Caenorhabditis elegans: one gene and its partner. The protein of the gene in region 1 purifies or fractionates together with the protein of each later gene. This does not show direct contact. Each region holds a gene or a part of one and is shown on either strand. Other genes may lie near its edges.

Region 1 (9,838 bases):
GGTCAGAAACAGAGAATTGCAATTGCCAGAGCTTTGGTCCGAGACCCCAAAATTCTGCTTCTGGATGAAGCCACGTCAGCTTTGGATTCGGAATCCGAAAGGGTATGTTGAAAATGAAACGCTATCTCTTAATAATTATGATCGTTTTCTTTCAGGCTGTACAAGAGGCATTAGATCGTGCCCGAGAAGGTCGTACGTGTATCACAATTGCCCATCGTTTGTCGTCCATTCAGAACTCTGACCTTATTGTGTACATCGATAAGGGCAAGGTGCAGGAAGCTGGCAACCACACGCAGTTGATGCATCAAAAGGGCAGATACTACAAGCTCATCAAGAAACAAGATCTTGCTGTTTAACTCTGCAAATTGCCTTTCAATTCCGAATTATCCTGTAAATTTTGATCACTTCCACACTCTTACCAGTAATTACTTGTTCCCTTTGAAACTGTTTTTATTGTGACTTTTCATTGCTTTGTTTTCACATTTCTCAAAAAATTTTTCCGTCATTTAGAAAACTGTTCCCACGTTGTTTTGAAGCAGTTTTTCTATTAACCGGGTCTGTTCACATTGCTACTTTTATTTTCAGTAGGTACTCATTAGCTAGTCGCTTTTTCAATTTTCGAATAAAAAAATGTAAGAATTGAAAGTGCACTGTGTTATTTACAACAGAAGAAAATTACAGTTGGCGCAATTAGCTCCCACACACACACACTTATGGGGTTGTTTATTACGGGACCATGAGATCATGAGAATGCCTACTTTTCATGGTCCCGTAATATGTGATGTTGAAATTTACAAAAATGTATTTTAATACATTTTCCCCTAGTCATGTCTGTAGAAAAATGTAAAAAATACATCGATTTTTCTATTTTTCTACATTTTTCGACACATTTTCTGTATTTTTCGACATCGGCTGCCAAGTTGGCAGTGTCAACCCACTTCTCATGCTGAAAGGCGCAAAGAGAAGTGTCCTCGCAGGGTGGTACAAAAAAGTCAACAAATGCGATCTAGAAAATTAGGCAAAATTCGAGATTTCAGCTAAAATCGGTATAATTTTTTCAAAATTTTGACCCGTCATGAAAAATTTTTGAGAAGCTTCATTACGAAAAAAAAAACGCTCATTTGAGCTCATTTTGGGTCTATGTGTTCAAAATCGTCCGAACCGTTAGTCCTTAAACTCACAAACTATCACTTAATTTCATAGTGATTTCTGTATTTTTAAATTGCAAATTTTGAATTGAAGTGTTAAAAGAAAGGTTTTATTAAAATCTCAACAATAATCTCAATTTGGTCATCTACCCGCAGAGGCATAATCTCATTAACAAGGATACAAATAAAACAGATTTTGAAATTAAACTTATATTGCAAGATCTTGTTTTTTAATCAATTCAAAATATTTTCCTTTCAACTGCATCAGTTCTTTGTGAGTACCAGATTCTTGAACTCGGCCATCATCAATATACACAATCAAATCGGAATTTTGAATAGATGAGAGGCGGTGAGCAATTGTAATGCAGGTACGCCCTTCTCGGGCACGATCCAATGCTTCTTGCACAGCCTGAAAAAACAAATCATGTTCATTATCTGTATCCATAACACTACATCTCAAAAGCCTTGTAAAAAACTTACCCTTTCTGATTCTGAATCCAAAGCCGATGTGGCTTCATCGAGAAGCAAAATTTTCGGGTCTCTGACTAAAGCTCTAGCAATCGCAATTCTTTGCTTCTGACCTCCAGATAGTTGGCCACCTCTTTCTCCAACTTCGGTGTCTATGCCATCGGGTAAGTTGCCAAGAAAACGGTTTGCGTTTGCTAGCTCTAGCGCCTGATTTATTTTCTCAAGTGGCACGTCTTTCAGTCCAAGACACACATTTTCTCTTATCGTTCCCACAAATAGTCTGGGTTCTTGTCCAACTAACGCCATTTGAGTTCTAAGATGGTACAAACTGATGTTCTTTATGTCTTGCCCATCCATTCTTAATGCACCACCCGTGACGTCGTAAAATCTTTCGAGCATTCCAATGCATGTGCTTTTGCCTGAGCCCGATGGGCCAACTAGAGCTACAGTTTGTCCACGTAGAGCAGTCCATTGCAGTTGTTTCATAACTGGCTGATGTGGTCTTTGTGGATACGAAAACTTGACGTTTTCGAATAATATATTTCCGCGAATTTCTGGTTTGGTACCGCTCTTGAGATCTCCTGTCTGAGGTTGCCGGTTAATCAAGTTAAACATCTGTCCTGCTGCAGACTTGGCACCAACAAATTGCGGGAAGAATTGAGCAGACATGATAATTCCCTCGCAACACAGCATCATCGCCATGAGACATCTAGGTACAAATAATGTTTAAATTCTTAGAGAAAGTGACTAACCTGAACGTCTTATCAACTGTTTGATCTCCTTGATTGATGATTCTGATTGCTAATGCAAAACAGAAGCAAGACATGTAGTACATAAAATTTTGAGAAATGCAGTAGTTGACAGCTTCGTATACAGACTTTCGGAGTTCAGTCCGTTTTCGCTTTTTTGATTCGTTTTCGTAGCTGTTTAAGAATCTTCTTGTCCGTGTTAATAGTTGGATAGTTTTCACATTTTCAATAATTTCAATGGCAATCTGAAAATAGAAATCAATTAAAAAATATTTTTAGAATAACTATATTTTCTTGGCAAGTACCTTTCCTGCGTCATCGTTCTCCATATGCTCAGCAGCTACGATTGAAATTTTGAATGCCAATCCAGCCATAATGAATCCCAACAAGAAAATTAGAGCGGTTCCAAGAATCGCAACTTGCCAACAATTGATAAATCCAATTGTCACGCAAGCAATGACAGCGGCAGTTGCGTAAACAACTTGCATCATTCTACCGTCTACAACAGCTTTTACACAAGGAGGATCTGCTGCTAATCTTGTGATAAGACTTCCAGGAGCGTGCGCCGGATTGTCAAAATATGCTGCATCCTGATAAAGAAGATTTCGAAAAGCAGCAACCCGGAACCGTACTCCTAAGTTTTCCGAGACAATTGCAAACATAACAGTCTGAAATCCATTTGTAATTTTGAATGTTTATATTTTTCGAGTTAGACTTACACTAAGCGTTTGGAAAAACCAGATACCCAATCCGGCTGCACAATGAGCTATTACAGACATTGCTAATCGATGCATCATTTTTCCGCCGTAGGGAACAAATTCAAATCCTTCAAAAACCCAAGCAAACAGCAATGCAAAGGTAGGAAGATCGAGCCCTCTGATCAAAGCAGCTGATAGGCCAATTAGCATGTAAGTGTAGTTTCCTGAAAATATGTATAGGATTGTAAGTATTTGAGATTTAATAGTTTTAATTCAAGATTTCAAAGATGTTATTTTAATTGAAAATTTTAAAAATTGTTTGATCAGACATATAATGCAAAAATATAATGCAAATTTTCCGTTTTGAAGTGCTTTAATTCGAACTTTAATAATAGTTGTCTCACTACCTTGAGCATTTTTGAAAATATCCAAGAATCCAGCAGTGATTTCTCCGTCTTTTTCCATGGTCTCTTTGACTCGCAAAGCAAATGCTTCATCTTCTGCCGACGGTATATGAGATGCCTTTCGAAATCTATCAAACGAATGGTTGGCAAGAGATCCTCGACGAAACTCTTCGGACCCCGAGCGTCCAGAACTTCTTGAATTTCTAACCGAAACTTTCCTGTTGAACACAGTTGGCTTATCAAATCTGAAATGATTTAGCTTTTGATTTTCAAAGTTCTATTTTTCAACTAACTCATCAAATTGATCTTCTTCTTCTTTTTCCAAAGCAATCTCGTCCGGATCTTGCTTGAAGGCTTGGGCTTTCACGAGGTCAAAATACCTTCCTCCAAGATTCACTAACTCTTCATGATTTCCAGCTTCAACAATGACTCCTTTTTCGAAAAATACAATTTTATCAGCTTCACGAATTGTTGATAGTCGATGAGCTATCATAATAGTTGTTCTTCCTTTGGATGCATTGTTTAGTGCTGACTGAACAACACTCTCACTTTGAGCATCGAGTGCAGACGTTGCTTCATCTAGTAGGAGCACTTTCGGGTCACGAATAAGAGTTCTGGCAATAGCAACACGTTGCTTTTGTCCTCCAGAAAGTTGAACGCCTCCATCACCAATTTGTGTGTCGTATCCTTTTGGCATTTTTTTGATGAAGTCATGCGCATTTGCCATTTTACAAACTCGAATCATTGTCTCACGAGTGGCATCTGGATTTCCAAAAAGCAAGTTGTTGTGAATAGTATCGTTGAAAAGAATAGGCTCCTGCTGCACAATACCCACAACATTCCGAAGCCACTCCAAATTTAAGTCCCTGACGTCAACTCCATCGATTTGTACGCTGCCTTGTTCGGGTTCGTATAGTCTGGTCAAAAGACCAACGGAAGTAGATTTTCCACATCCCGAGTGGCCAACCAAAGCTACAGACGTTCCTGGTTCAACTGTCAAGTTGAGACCATTGAGAACCTTCGCTTCTTTTCTCGTTGGATATCTAAAGTGCACATTTTCAAATGTCACCTTACCAACAACCTTCTCAATTTTCTTTCCATGCCTTGAGTATGGATCAATTTTTGGGACTCGGTCAATAGTTTTATATATAGATGCAGCTGCAACTCTAGCGTTAAGCAAAACCATCAAATGGGGAGATATTAATCCAAGAAAATAGGCTCCGAGTAACATGGCCACCACAATAATGAATACATCACCAGGAGACTTGATGATTCCGACTTTGAGTAGGTAACCTCCATATAGAATTCCACATCCCATGAAAGCCATCAACCAGAAGAAGAAAATGCCTCCGAAAAATCCACTCCAAAATCCTCCCCAAATTGCATGCTTCTTTCCAGAATTCAATTGTTTCTCGTATTTTGCAACCATTTCTTCTTGACCATTAAATGCCTGAATAGTTCGTACACCCATCAAACATTCTTCTGCAATTGCTCCGGCTTCACCAACTTTCTCCAATTCCTCCCCAGTGCTCTTTTCCAAGAACTATAAAACTTTAATTGTTATTTTCAAATTGAGGGTTTGAGATAGTTTGGTGTGAAACAAGGTGATAAAAATGAACATACCCTTGATAAAAGTGTCATGCAGATTGTGGAGACGGGAATCAGACCTAACATCATAAGAGCAAGTCTCCATTCATAAATCAAAGAAATAACGACTGATGCAATAACCATTGAGATCCCTCTAATCAGAACACCAAGTTTATCACCAACACCATCTTGAATCCGTTCCATATTACTTAAACATAAATTGAAATTATTACATACAGTAAAAATTGACTTACTCGTTGAGTCTCGTCGTGATTGTTCCGGATAGGTTTTTATCAAACCACCCTGCATTTTGTCTTAAAATCGAGGAGATATAGCGATTTCTCATTACAGTCATCATACGACTGCAAACTCTTTGAAAACACATATACTGAAATTTGGTCAGGTGAAAAAAGTTAACCCTGTTATAATGAATTTCCTACCTGGCAAAAGTCATTAATTGAAACGAAGATTCCAAGTCCTAAGAAGATGTATACATTTTCCATCGTTTTGGTTTTAAATTCTTTACTCAAAGGATCAATGACTAGCAACACATTTGTCATTCGACCCCTAAAATTCGGAATACAGGAAAACTTCAAAAACTGCAACAACTTACGAGATAATTGCAAGAACTGGTTGAGAGACACCAGAAATGACTGAAGTGATTAGTCCAATCAATAGAAGTATGTAGTCAAACGTCGTGGCAAAGCGGAACTTAAATCAAAAATTTAAAACATTAACATTGTTTTTTTCAACTTGATAAAAATATAAAAATACATTTAAAAAAATTACCAATTGCAGTAGCGAAACTGGTTGGAATTCCAATACTTGTTCAGAAAGGTCACACCTGCAATTATCAATTTTAAAACATTTTTAGGTAAATCAAAAAAAATACCTGCAGAGTAAAAAGTTAACGAATTTTTCAAATACAGATGGATAGTATTCCACTTTCTTATCATTGTCGTCATCGTTGTATGATGAATCGGAGAAGCTCGTAGCAGATATTTTCTCATCGAAATCAATTTTCTGAAAAAAAAGGAATGTAATTTCAGAAAATTGAAACTTTTTTTAAATACTCTCACAAATAATCAATTCAGTTTTATTTTTGTTCCAATTGTATACTATTTTGAAAATACAACACAAAAATCATATTTGATTGTGTTGTATTTTCAAATATCTTTATAAAGAGCAAATAGTTTTCAATTTCCCAACATCTTAGAGGATCATGGAAAAACGTAACTTTAAGAAATGATTCCTACCGTTCTCAAACTAGATAGATTCTTTCCAGAACCATCCGTGTTTTCTTGTGGTGGCATCAGCGGTTCGTTTTATACAATTGTGATAATAGCGCTCGAAATAATAATCAGCAGTAGGAAACAAAAAATGAGCACAAAATGAACTCTCTTCCATTGCCATCCAACTATTTAAGTACACGGAAAAAACATACAGGAAACTATTTATTCACTCTTTCGTGTTTTCCAGCTATACACATAAAATCAAAAAGCGTGTTTTGTGTGGGTCGAGAGCAACAGTTCAAACAGTCACGTGAAGAAACGAGGAGAGAGCAGAGTATTCCGTCTTACATCGTACAAACTACGGTTTGAAAAGGCGGCGCCTAAGTTCTGAGGTAACTTTTCACAACATTCTGAAAACGCATAAACTGTTTTTTTGGTTCTCTTGTGTAACGATCAGTTTAAAACAAAACATAATTTTGGCGTGATGTAAGAGGGTAACTACAGAAATTAATGACACTGAAAAAGTGTCTAGTTATAATTTTTACTAGTGATTGTGCAATTTTTTGTGTCGATGTCCAGCATTTCTGATAATTTGTTGGATAAACAATGTGACACTACAAAAAATCAAGCGACATTTCAGGTGTTCAAAATGTCTTACAATCCCTTAAAAGTTCTCTGAAACAGCCACTTACCCTCATTGTGCATCTCCACATTTAAAAACGGCATCACCATCGCCTATAATTTACATACCTTTTTTTAAATCTCGATACCCGATTTTTCAGGATATAAGCTTCTAAAACTAAACATTTGGCACAAACTCTAGTGAGCGATTGGAAAACAAATATAACACTTCTTCAAATTAATTTTTTTGTTGTTATTTTTATCTCTTTGGGACAACTCTAATTAACAAGTTTTAGAAAGTTTACAAACAAACTTTCAGCACAGTTTTCTACAGAACTGGCAACAATTGCATGTAAATCTATTCAAATGATGTTAGCACAAATACTAGTGTTCGCATCTGTCTAAAAATGTTTTGCAAATCATCAAAAAAACAAACTGCAAACTTTGATTTTACAAGGTTCGGAACAGGAATGAACAAGAATTGTTCAATGCATCTGATCTCATTTTTAAATGGGATATAAACTTCAAGATATAAAATTGCATTGGCTTGACTCTTTTGTAAAAATCATTTGATTAACCCATAGAACTTTTAAAAACATTTTCAGCGTTCATCAAATTTTTGAGTACTAGCACAAAACTATTGGAACGAAATTTTGAAAGAAATGACACAGCTGACTTGAATTCTGAGTTTCAGAAATTTATCCGAATTACAGAGTTACTTTACTTTATTCCCTCTACCTGTTTTTTTCAGATTTATGAATAAGTTTGCTTCCTCACTGTACCGTAACTAGCTGTGAAGAAAACAAAACAGATAAAATATAATGAAACTAACGATTATTGTCTCCATTTACGTTAGTTATCTTGGTATTTTGAAGAACAGCAGCTTCAAAAAGTTGTTTTCCATGCCGAGTGAGTTGTAGCGTAGTGTTACGTTATTATTTATTCATTTTATTTACAGAATAGTATTTTCAGACCTCTCGGATTTCTTTCATAATATATGGTCACAAGTGGAAATTGGAATTATATTGAACATTTATTATTTGTGATTTCGATTAAATATGTGTATAACATCAGAAAGTATATATAAAACTGATTTAAAAAAATAACAAAACCCGCACAAAAAGCAACAACGTCTATCAACGTAATTAATATCACGTGGTAAGATCTTGCTTTTTGATAAGATTGTAGTATTTTCCTCTCAGTGACATAAGGTGAGCATGGTTTCCAGCTTCTTGTACCATGCCATGATCAATGTAAACAATGAGGTCGGAGTTCTGAATAGACGACAAGCGATGGGCAATTGTGATGCAAGTACGACCTTCACGAGCACGATCCAGCGCTTCTTGTACGGCCTGGAAAACAAATTTTCAAATTTTTTTTCATTTTTCAAAACAGTGTTTCTATTATTTAAAATCGGCTTTTTAAATGGTATGCTTTTCAAACCAAGGAAAAGTAGAATTGTTGTCTGTTTTCCGGCTAAACGTTTGCCTTAATTTTTCCCCCTCACCCTTTCAGATTCCGAATCCAATGCGGAAGTGGCTTCATCTAGCAGCAAAATCTTAGGATCTCTGACCAATGCTCTGGCAATTGCGATTCTCTGCTTTTGTCCTCCCGACAATTGTCCTCCTTTCTCTCCAACTTCTGTATCAATGCCTGCTGGCAAGTTTGCAAGGAACCGGGAAGCATTTGCGAGTTCCAAAGCTTGATGGACTTTTTCAACAGAGACCTGGAAAAAAAGCATACTATGAGGAATTATCGATGCTGAAACTTACATCTTTTAGCCCAAAACACACGTTTTCTTTAATAGTTCCTGCAAACAAACGGGGCTCCTGGCCAACTAATGCCATTTGTGTTCGAAGATGGTGAAGGGAGAGTGATTTGATATTCTGTCCATCGATTCTCAGTGCTCCACCGGAAACATCATAAAATCGTTCAAGCATGGCAATACAAGTACTTTTTCCAGTGCCTGATGGGCCAACTAAGGCAACAGTTTGGCCACTGTGGGCCGAAAAATGAAGGTCCGTCATAACAGGTTGCATTGGTCGTTGTGGGTATGAAAATTTGACCGACTCAAAAAGAACATTCCCACGAATTTCAGTATTATTTCCTTCCATCACGTCTCCGGTTTTTGATTTTCGATAGATCAACTTAAATAGCATTCCAGCGGCAGTTTTCGCTTTCACGAACTCTGGGAAGTTATGAGATGAATGCATCACAGCAACGGACCCCATCATCATGCAATTAATAGCTCTGAAAATGGTGATGGTTGTGATTACACTTTTAAAATTTATTATGTGTTTAAACGTTTTCGATATTTACCTAACTATTTTGTATGCATCTTGAAACTAGAAAAAAGTCATTGACGTAACTTATTTGACCACTTTCTCAAATTTTCACTCAAACTATGTGAGTTAACTTGTTGATCTTTTCGTACCTAAATGTGGGTTCTGCTTCAACAATGCCGTGGTACATGAGTGGTGTTCCGACACCATAGCAGACAAACATTGCAAAATACATAAAGGTTTGCGAGATGGCGTTGTTCACAGATTGAATGTAAGATTTTCTCATTTCACTTTTATGTTGCACTAACTGGGCGTCTTTGTAATGGGTCAAAAAGCGTTGAGTGCTTGTCAGGAGTTGAATTGTTTTGACACTTTCAATAATCTCAATTGCAATCTGAAACGTAACATTAGAAAAAACATTCAAATAAAGAAACAGACTTTTCCAGCTTCATCTTTCCTAATTTGCTTCAAGTTTTCGCGAGCAATTTTGTATGCCATGCTGATCATCATGGTTGCAAATAATACGATCATGATTGTTCCTGCAATTGCGATTCGCCAGCAAAATATGTATCCAGTAATCAAATTGATTGTAATTGAGGTGATGGAGTAGATGACTTGGAGCATTCGGGTGTCCACGACTGCTTTTACA
Region 2 (7,833 bases), on another chromosome or scaffold:
CCGTATTTCAAATATCTTCCATTGATTATCAAATCACAAGGTGTTCTTGAAATGAATGGAAGCAGAACTTGAACGAACTGAAAGTTTCGGAAATTCAAATTAGTCTGATGGCAATTGTTAAATTAAGTAAAACTCACCCCAACAATTTGAAAATTGATTGTAAATGCCAGAACTGTCACAAAATAACCAATTAACACACACTGAAGTTCATTAATTAACTTATTTTTCCAAGTAACCTATTTGCTTACTTTCAGATTTCCGTGAAAACTCGATTTGATAAGTTTGAAAAATATGAAATAAAACAATGGGGGAAATGCGAAACAGGCAACCAAAAATTGATAGATTTGAGCAACTCGATATACTGGATGAAATGAAATCATTTGTGCTTGTATAGTTTAATTTCAAGGATATTTGCAGTGGGTTACTTACCGTAGTACAATTAGAAAGAAGTTCAAAGCCAGATGAATCTGGTTCAGTTGTTGATTTGCTCATATCTTTTGTTCTCCGTGCTGCAAATGATTCTGTAACTCTTATATTCAATCAAGAAAGAGTGCTAATTTGAAATGTGACTATCAGAAACCGCACAGAATCTGAATTGTCTGGTCAATATGCGCCACAAAAAGTTATGCCTGCCTTGGAGGCACACAGGCAAGCACTTTTATGCATACGTGAAAGATTTGATTTCGGAAATTATTGAAATTCAAAAAATAAATTTTCTGTTTTTCTAAAATTGTGGGTTTTGATATTTGCAGTCACTGATTATGGAATGTTATGAAGAGGGAAATTTCAAAAACTAAGGAAGAAGACGGCATTTTCATAACATTTACCATTTACCAATCATAACATTACCTTTATTTTTTAAAGGTTTTATCCCAACATTAAAAATGTGTACAATAATTATCAAATTTTCAGTTTAAAAGATAAAGGAAAGATGAGGACTAAAAATTCCAGTCAATCAAGGCTTCTTCAATTTTCTACTTCTACGTGAAAACTCTCGCCTGAAAAAGTAAGTTTAAAGCTCACAAGTAATATAAAATTACTCTTCCGTTTGAAATTAACCTGCATGATTTATTCCAATTAAAATGAAAAATCAATTTCAAAACAAACTGTCATTAGAGCCCCTCTTGCAGCTGATAAATTTATTGGATCATCAATCAATAATCCACCAAAATATCTCGATAGAATAGTAAGTGTTGTATATGTTCCAAAAAAGATATATTGATCTTCAAATGAAGATTTCTTCTTTGTTTTGTCTATTCTTGTTCTAGGCGTCACAGGAATCGCTCATCTTCGAACCAATGACGTTGAAAGATGGTCGATCAACGACTAGTGTGTAGATTCAGTACAGAAGATCATTTATCAATCTTTTTTATTTCACATCTGTGTGTGACAATACAAGGATGGAATCAAATAGATGTTTTGGGGAGAAGGGACGAGATAAATAGAAAAAGATGGGGGAAAATGTGTGTATTTCTGTGTCGGTGTGAAAGGAACAACCCATTTGGCAAAAACAAACTATTGATCGAATGAATTTGTAAAAATTGAAAATCTATCTTAACACCCTTGAAATCTCGATGGATTTCATTGAAAAACAAAAATGTTGTCAGCATTTTCATTTTTGAAAACAATCTACCTAATTTTCAGGGGCGACCAAAATATAAAGCGTTTGGATGTTTGGGGAAAAGGAATCAGGGGCTCTAGAAAGAATAAGTTACGAATAGGTACGATGTGTGAAAAACAAGTTAGAAAAGCTCTTTGATGGTGGAAAGGGAAGGAGAATACGGGAAAGAGTAGCATGAAACACGAATCTTTACAGAATAGGAATGAAACCTAAAGCTTCCGGTATGAAAGCTAACAGATTATGCTGCTATAAATGAGGGAAGTATACAAAAGAGATGGGAATCCAATATCGAGTATCTCGAATAGGTGGGGAAGAGCAAGTTACCAGTGTGAAAAGGGCGGGAAAAGAAAAAAAGAAAGCTAGGAAGACATGAATCAATTCTTTTTGAGCTGCTTATACAGATCATCGAGGGTCTTCTGGTAGGCCATTTGGATAGGCTTTCTCTTCAGCTTGAGTGCTTCGGTAAGAAGGCCAGTGTCAGGAGTCCAAATCTCGGGGCAAAGATGAATCGCGGCTGGGATTTCAGAGCGGGAAAGTTTGCCTGAAACAATATACATTTTTAGGGAACCACAATTTAATTATTTTAAACATTAGAACGTTCATAATTTCTCAAAACTAACTTTTCTTGGCATGTTCTTCGAGTTGTTTCTTGTAGGCAGCAATGACCTTCTTATCTTCACACATCGTCTTCATTTCACTAGTTGATACACCTTCCGCTTCAGCAATCTTCTCCAAGTGCTTCTGGTTTGGAACCACAAGAGCAACAACACTGTCTTCCATTCCACTTCCATAAACGCAGATGTTATCAACAATTGGGCAATTGAGAAGTGCACATTCAACTTTAGCGAGAGAAACATATTCTCCGTGTTGCAATTTAACCAAATCCTTCTTTCTGTCAATAATGAGAAGAGAACCATCATCACGCTTCTGTCCAATATCTCCAGTGGCAAAGTACACTTTTCCTTTATAGGTGATGAAATCTTCAGCGGTCTTTTCTGGTTGTTTATAATATCCAGGTGAGATGTTTTCTCCAGAAATAAGAATCTCTCCTTGTGGTGGATCATTGAATGGTGAGTATCCACCTTCGGACCACTCACGAAGAGCAATATCTGAGCATCTGACTGGGGGACCAACGGTTCCTGTGCTCAAGTCGTTGATATCAGCAACACAAGCAGCTCCACAAGTTTCTGTGAGTCCGTATCCTTGAACAACAGGGCAGCACATACAAATATTCATGAATCTTTGAGTTTCAGCGTTCAATGGGGCTCCACCAGACAAAACACCACGAAGTTTTCCTCCCAAAAGTCTGCGAATCTTTTTGAATACGATGCGATCAAGGAATGGACTGCAGTAACCCTCCAAATAGCGGGATCTCTTTCTCTCATAATTAAGTTTGAACAATTCTTGCATGAAACGAGGTGATGCAGCAACTTCTTCGGAGACGGCCTTGAAAATTCGATCCATAATAGCTGGAACAGCAGCCATAAGAGTTGGGCGGAGGGCATGACAATCTCCATGTGTTCCCTTTTGGATTTTTGATGCACGGTCGTGAAGTGTCAAGGGTGAAGAATATCCAACCTTAAAATAAATGGGTAAAATGAGTTTTAAATCCAATAAAAATTCTTACCTTGGCTCCTTTAGTCAAACATGTCAATTCGGCATCCAATTCGAGAATATGAGCAAGTGGAAGATACCCAATGTATGTATCTGCATTGCATATGATTCCAACACCATCCCCTTGTCCCAACAAAGCAGCCACAACGTTTTGATGAAGAAGAATAACTCCTTTTGGCTGACCAGTTGTGCCAGAAGTGTACATGATGAGGGCAATGTCTGACTTCACAGCTGTAGATTCTTTAACTTGTTCCTGATTGCGAGTAAGAAGTCCGCTCAGTGATAGAACATGTTTGAACTGATCACGGAACGGTGCAAGCTCTGGTGCTGGTGCTTTCTGGTCCACAGGAGCGAAATAAATCAGGGTCTTCAGAGTTGGACATTTCTTTCCAAGCGTTACAATCTTTGGAAGAAGTTCCGAAGAAGTGACAAGAATTGTAGCTTCAGTCTCTCCGATGGCATGAGCAATTGCGTCTTCTCCCAAAGTTGCGTATACAGTTACGATGGTGACGTTGGCACGGAAACAGGCAAGAGCAGTGATGAGCCAATCTGCACGAGTTTCAGCAAAGATAACAACTTTCGGATTTTGTTCTTCATGGGCAAGATCCTTGATACCGGCTGCGAGGCGGGCGACTTGAGTTTCAACTTCTTTGTAGCTCTGCCACACATACTCTCCAAGATGCCACTTCTCAAACACACGGCCTCCAGGTTGTTTATCTTCGTGAACTTCAATAAGCTGTCGAGTTCCCAAACATGGCGATTCATCGTAGAGTTCGACGCACTTTCTCCAAACCTAAAATTTAAAGCATGAAATGTGCTACTTCAGCTTTTATCGAATTCTGCAATGCAGATCTTTGCACACTTGCCTACCTTATCAACTGTGTCTTTTCCTGGGAATGTTTCTGAAGCATGTCCTTGAATATTACGGATTGGTCCATCACGATCGTCAACCCAATTTGCCTGAAACAGATAATACGGATAAATTAATATTAAAAGTATTGACAAACCTTTACTCGCTCCGACTTCCGAAGCTTTTCCGTTGGCGAATTGAACAACTGGTATGGCAAGTAGTTGAGACAATCGTATATGAAAAACCACACACGAAGGATGGCCATAGCTACACGAATCCATATTGGTGATTCACCTTTCACTACCTGAAAATAGAACTTGTTGGAAACTTTCAAACAAAAAATCGTAAAATGTCCTAAACAAAAACACGAACCTGGCCGAGTGTCTTATCCTTTGAAGAATCGTATACCGAAACTTTCCGTTTCATCTGTAAATAACGAAAATTAGAAGAGATTATTCTAAAGAAAAATGGGAAGAATGTACAAGACCGTGACGCATGGAATAGAGAATGTATATAATATGATATGTATACAGAAGCAGCATTTCTACAGTTTTGGGAACATAAAGAACAATTTTTAATTCACGATGAGCAAAATTGCTAGACAAAAAATTACGAGAATTGCGAGAATAATGCAAGAAGGGAAAATATATTTCTGTGCAAATATTTGACAATTTTTTTTCTCATCTTCTCCCGTTCAGAGTGCAGCCTATTTGTCTTACATCAAAAAGTCCAATAATTGTTGCAGTTTTTGCGACGTTCTTTTTAAACATTATTATGGTTAGCTGCCGATGAAAAAGAGGAAACTACATTATGTCTTTGACGGAACTCTTGATAGCATCATTTTTATAAAGTTGGAGGTGTTTCGTTTCGGACTGCAAAAGCAGAAAAAAGGGAAAACGGAAAATCGTGCTGATAAGGAAAAAACCTCAAAATAATTCCGGCATGAAAAGTCACCACGAGTTTTAAATCGTAGTTTGATTATTGTAAAATGTTAAAATTAAAAAAAAAAGTCTTAGACAGTTATTGTTGTAAAGTTAACAGCCTTCAATCTCTGGACGAAAACAATTCCTCGTCTTATCAGCATCAGTAAAAATAATATCATTATCAGGTGTTTTGCGTTATCAAATCAGTGAAATGTCGTTCGCGGTAACAATTAAGAACATGCGGAAGATGTATCGTGTTCACAATTTTCACCGTAAAAATTTCGAATGGAAAAAAGAACTGTCCGAAACAAATGACGTCTCCTTCTACATTCTGCGTGGCAACATCGCAGTTCTTCACAGGAAAAGAGAAAGAGGAGGAAAACTGCACACGCCCGTATTCTTTTCCTCTTCCTCCCTCTTCTTCCACTCTGTTCTCTCAGTTTTTTTAAACATAGGAGCGGCTCCCCTCACTCCCCATCTATTCCGCGCAGTCGTGAGACGCAGACAATGCTAGGAATGCATAGATGAACGCTGAGTTGGAAGCGGAGGTCTTTCTGCGCACACGAGTAGAGACAAAACAGAGAAAGCAACTCAGAACATGGCGCGAGATTCGGATATGGCACCACTTTTGACCTCAAGAGGACCAACAAGCTTTAAGAATAATTGTTACATTCGAGTTACATAAGTTTATACATTTAAATGTTAAGTAAGCCTTATTTTCAGAAATGCTTGCCTAAATCAGAAAAAAAACAACAGCGAGAAAATGTTAAAATGAACGTCTGGGAAAACTATTTTTTGTGATGAATCATAAGGATGGGCTGTAGAAAAAGGAAATTAAATTTTGAGAACGCGGTTTTCCTAGAAAATCATCTATAATAGTTGGACATTCAATCTAAATGGAAACAGTTAGAGAAATACTAGAATTATTCATATTGTCAAGATATTCGTCAGCCGTTTTAAATCTAATTACACGCCACCGAGGAGATACGCGACTGAAACCCTGTGGTTGCGTATTGGGTGACAGGGTACTCTTGGTGGAGGGATTAGGACAGTGTATTGATTGAAATGGGGTAATATCATACAAAAAGTAGAGTAAATAATATCTCATCAACAACGTGTTGAACTCGGTTATGTAAAACTGAATTCAGAATCATTTCGACAAGTAAAATAACTCATTTCTGCAACGTAAACGACGGGTTTGTCTACAGTCGTCATACAACTTTCACTTAATCAGTTCATCTTCTTAACACTTGATTATGTTATTGATAAAAGAGCACAAAATGACGGAGCATCGTACAAAGAAAGAGCACAAAATGAATTTGAAAGCATGATTCGTGAAGATGCACATTAGAAAACGCAGACAACACAGGCCACATTGCCCGCGTAATTTGAATTCTGCTAGGCATGGAAAGAGGGAGACCCACGGAAAACAGAAATAGTGTTTCGCAATCATATGTTCGTTTTACACGTTTACTAGACGACCGATGGAATTGTGAAAGAGTGAGTCAGTGCATGGCGTGATTTTTGGAAGAGGAAAAGTCAACATAAATAACAAAAACATTCTTGATTCAATTTTAGAATTATTTCTGAACGTTTAAAGACTGAAGAAAAATGTTACGACGCCAGAATATATTATAATATGTTATAACAAAGGAGATCCTAAAATTTGAACCCACTAGAAATTTCAGAGATTCGAGAGTATTTGCATCAGTAAAACACCTTTAAAAACGTTAATTATGCAGAAAACTCAAAAACGGAAGCCGAAAATAAAGAAAAACCGTCAAATTAAGACGAAAATGAATTGTTTTTGCAAAAAAAGTGTCTGAAAATTATTGGCGGCAAAAGTGGTCCGTAAACACGTTCACGATAAAATGCACAGGGGTACGGTTTGTGAACCGTAACTCCAATATAATTCGATCTGTTTTATCGAATTTTTGTTTCAAATCTTTTCTTTTCACTTTCTTTGATAGAAAAACCTTTTTAAACAATCAGACTAACCCTTTTGTATACATAATAGCTTGCCTTGCCAGTAAGTGAAACAAATCTTCAAGTTTTCAAACTAGTACCGTTGTATCTCTCGTGTTGTCGAAATTGAGTATCCTTAACGAAAATAAAGCAAAGCCAAGTCCAAACAGAAGTTTTTGTTAGAGAATAGTGTAGACTAGCTCGATACGAGTTAGGAATAATTCAAAAAAACATTAAGTTCAATTTTTTACGCATCGATTTCATATTGATGTGTTGAGGAAAAGTTCACGTAATGCTAATATCAACGAGACGATCCTGTTCACAGCAGTAATGAATGAAATAAATTCCTTTAAAACTTTTAGAAAGATAACATCCTTTTTTGAGTTGAACTTCTGTGATAAGGATGACTTCATGTTTTAATCTTTTTAGGATTCATTACAAAACTGTCACAAAATTTCAGATATAATTAAGGAAAAAGATCGTATGTGAGTTTAGTTATTAAGATATTGTCAAACAATAAAGAAACATGTAAGCTTCTACTGGTGACGAATGTGCCGACGGGGATTTTGCGGAACCACTTCTTCCTCTACTTCCTCGTACACTTGGTGATGATTTTCCATGACATGATGATGCTCAACTTCGAGTTGTTCTTCCTGAACTTCCTCTTCTTGTTCGATGTATCGGGTGATTGGAATTCGCATGGAAGCTTCATACTGTTCATGGAGTAGTTTTTCTTGCATTTTTTGTAGATGAATATGACGTTGGAGTGCCTGAAACGTGTCTTATTATAATTTCAATTTTGGTTTTCATGCGAAATACCTCGATCTGCAGTTTGCATACTTCATCATTGGTGGATGGCG

What was found. Proteins that work in one complex are often made in the same cells at the same time.
Region 2: the proteins of pgp-13 (region 1) and acs-4 fractionate together in Caenorhabditis elegans (co-fractionation; one large-scale study listed by BioGRID). This does not show direct contact.

The regions. Positions count from the first base shown.
Region 1 is NC_003284.9:12,735,525-12,745,362, reverse strand, and holds pgp-13 (P-GlycoProtein related), read right to left. Parts: upstream 6,610-9,838; 5' UTR 6,368-6,609; coding exon 6,311-6,367; intron 6,078-6,310; coding exon 5,947-6,077; intron 5,899-5,946; coding exon 5,844-5,898; intron 5,766-5,843; coding exon 5,668-5,765; intron 5,622-5,667; coding exon 5,495-5,621; intron 5,443-5,494; coding exon 5,309-5,442; intron 5,263-5,308; coding exon 5,091-5,262; intron 5,011-5,090; coding exon 3,761-5,010; intron 3,713-3,760; coding exon 3,471-3,712; intron 3,288-3,470; coding exon 3,085-3,287; intron 3,034-3,084; coding exon 2,671-3,033; intron 2,611-2,670; coding exon 2,369-2,610; intron 2,326-2,368; coding exon 1,629-2,325; intron 1,558-1,628; coding exon 1,357-1,557; 3' UTR 1,252-1,356; downstream 1-1,251. Other genes in the region: pgp-14 (P-glycoprotein 14), read left to right, coding at 1-102, 156-356; pgp-12 (P-GlycoProtein related), read right to left, coding at 8,059-8,259, 8,415-8,633, 8,680-9,157, 9,342-9,583, 9,628-9,838.
Region 2 is NC_003281.10:7,164,516-7,172,348, reverse strand, and holds acs-4 (long-chain-fatty-acid--CoA ligase), read right to left. Parts: upstream 4,512-7,833; coding exon 4,458-4,511; intron 4,390-4,457; coding exon 4,243-4,389; intron 4,196-4,242; coding exon 4,106-4,195; intron 4,029-4,105; coding exon 3,249-4,028; intron 3,200-3,248; coding exon 2,242-3,199; intron 2,163-2,241; coding exon 1,996-2,162; 3' UTR 1,359-1,995; downstream 1-1,358. Other genes in the region: K04G7.1 (Integrase zinc-binding domain-containing protein), read right to left, coding at 7,510-7,743, 7,793-7,833.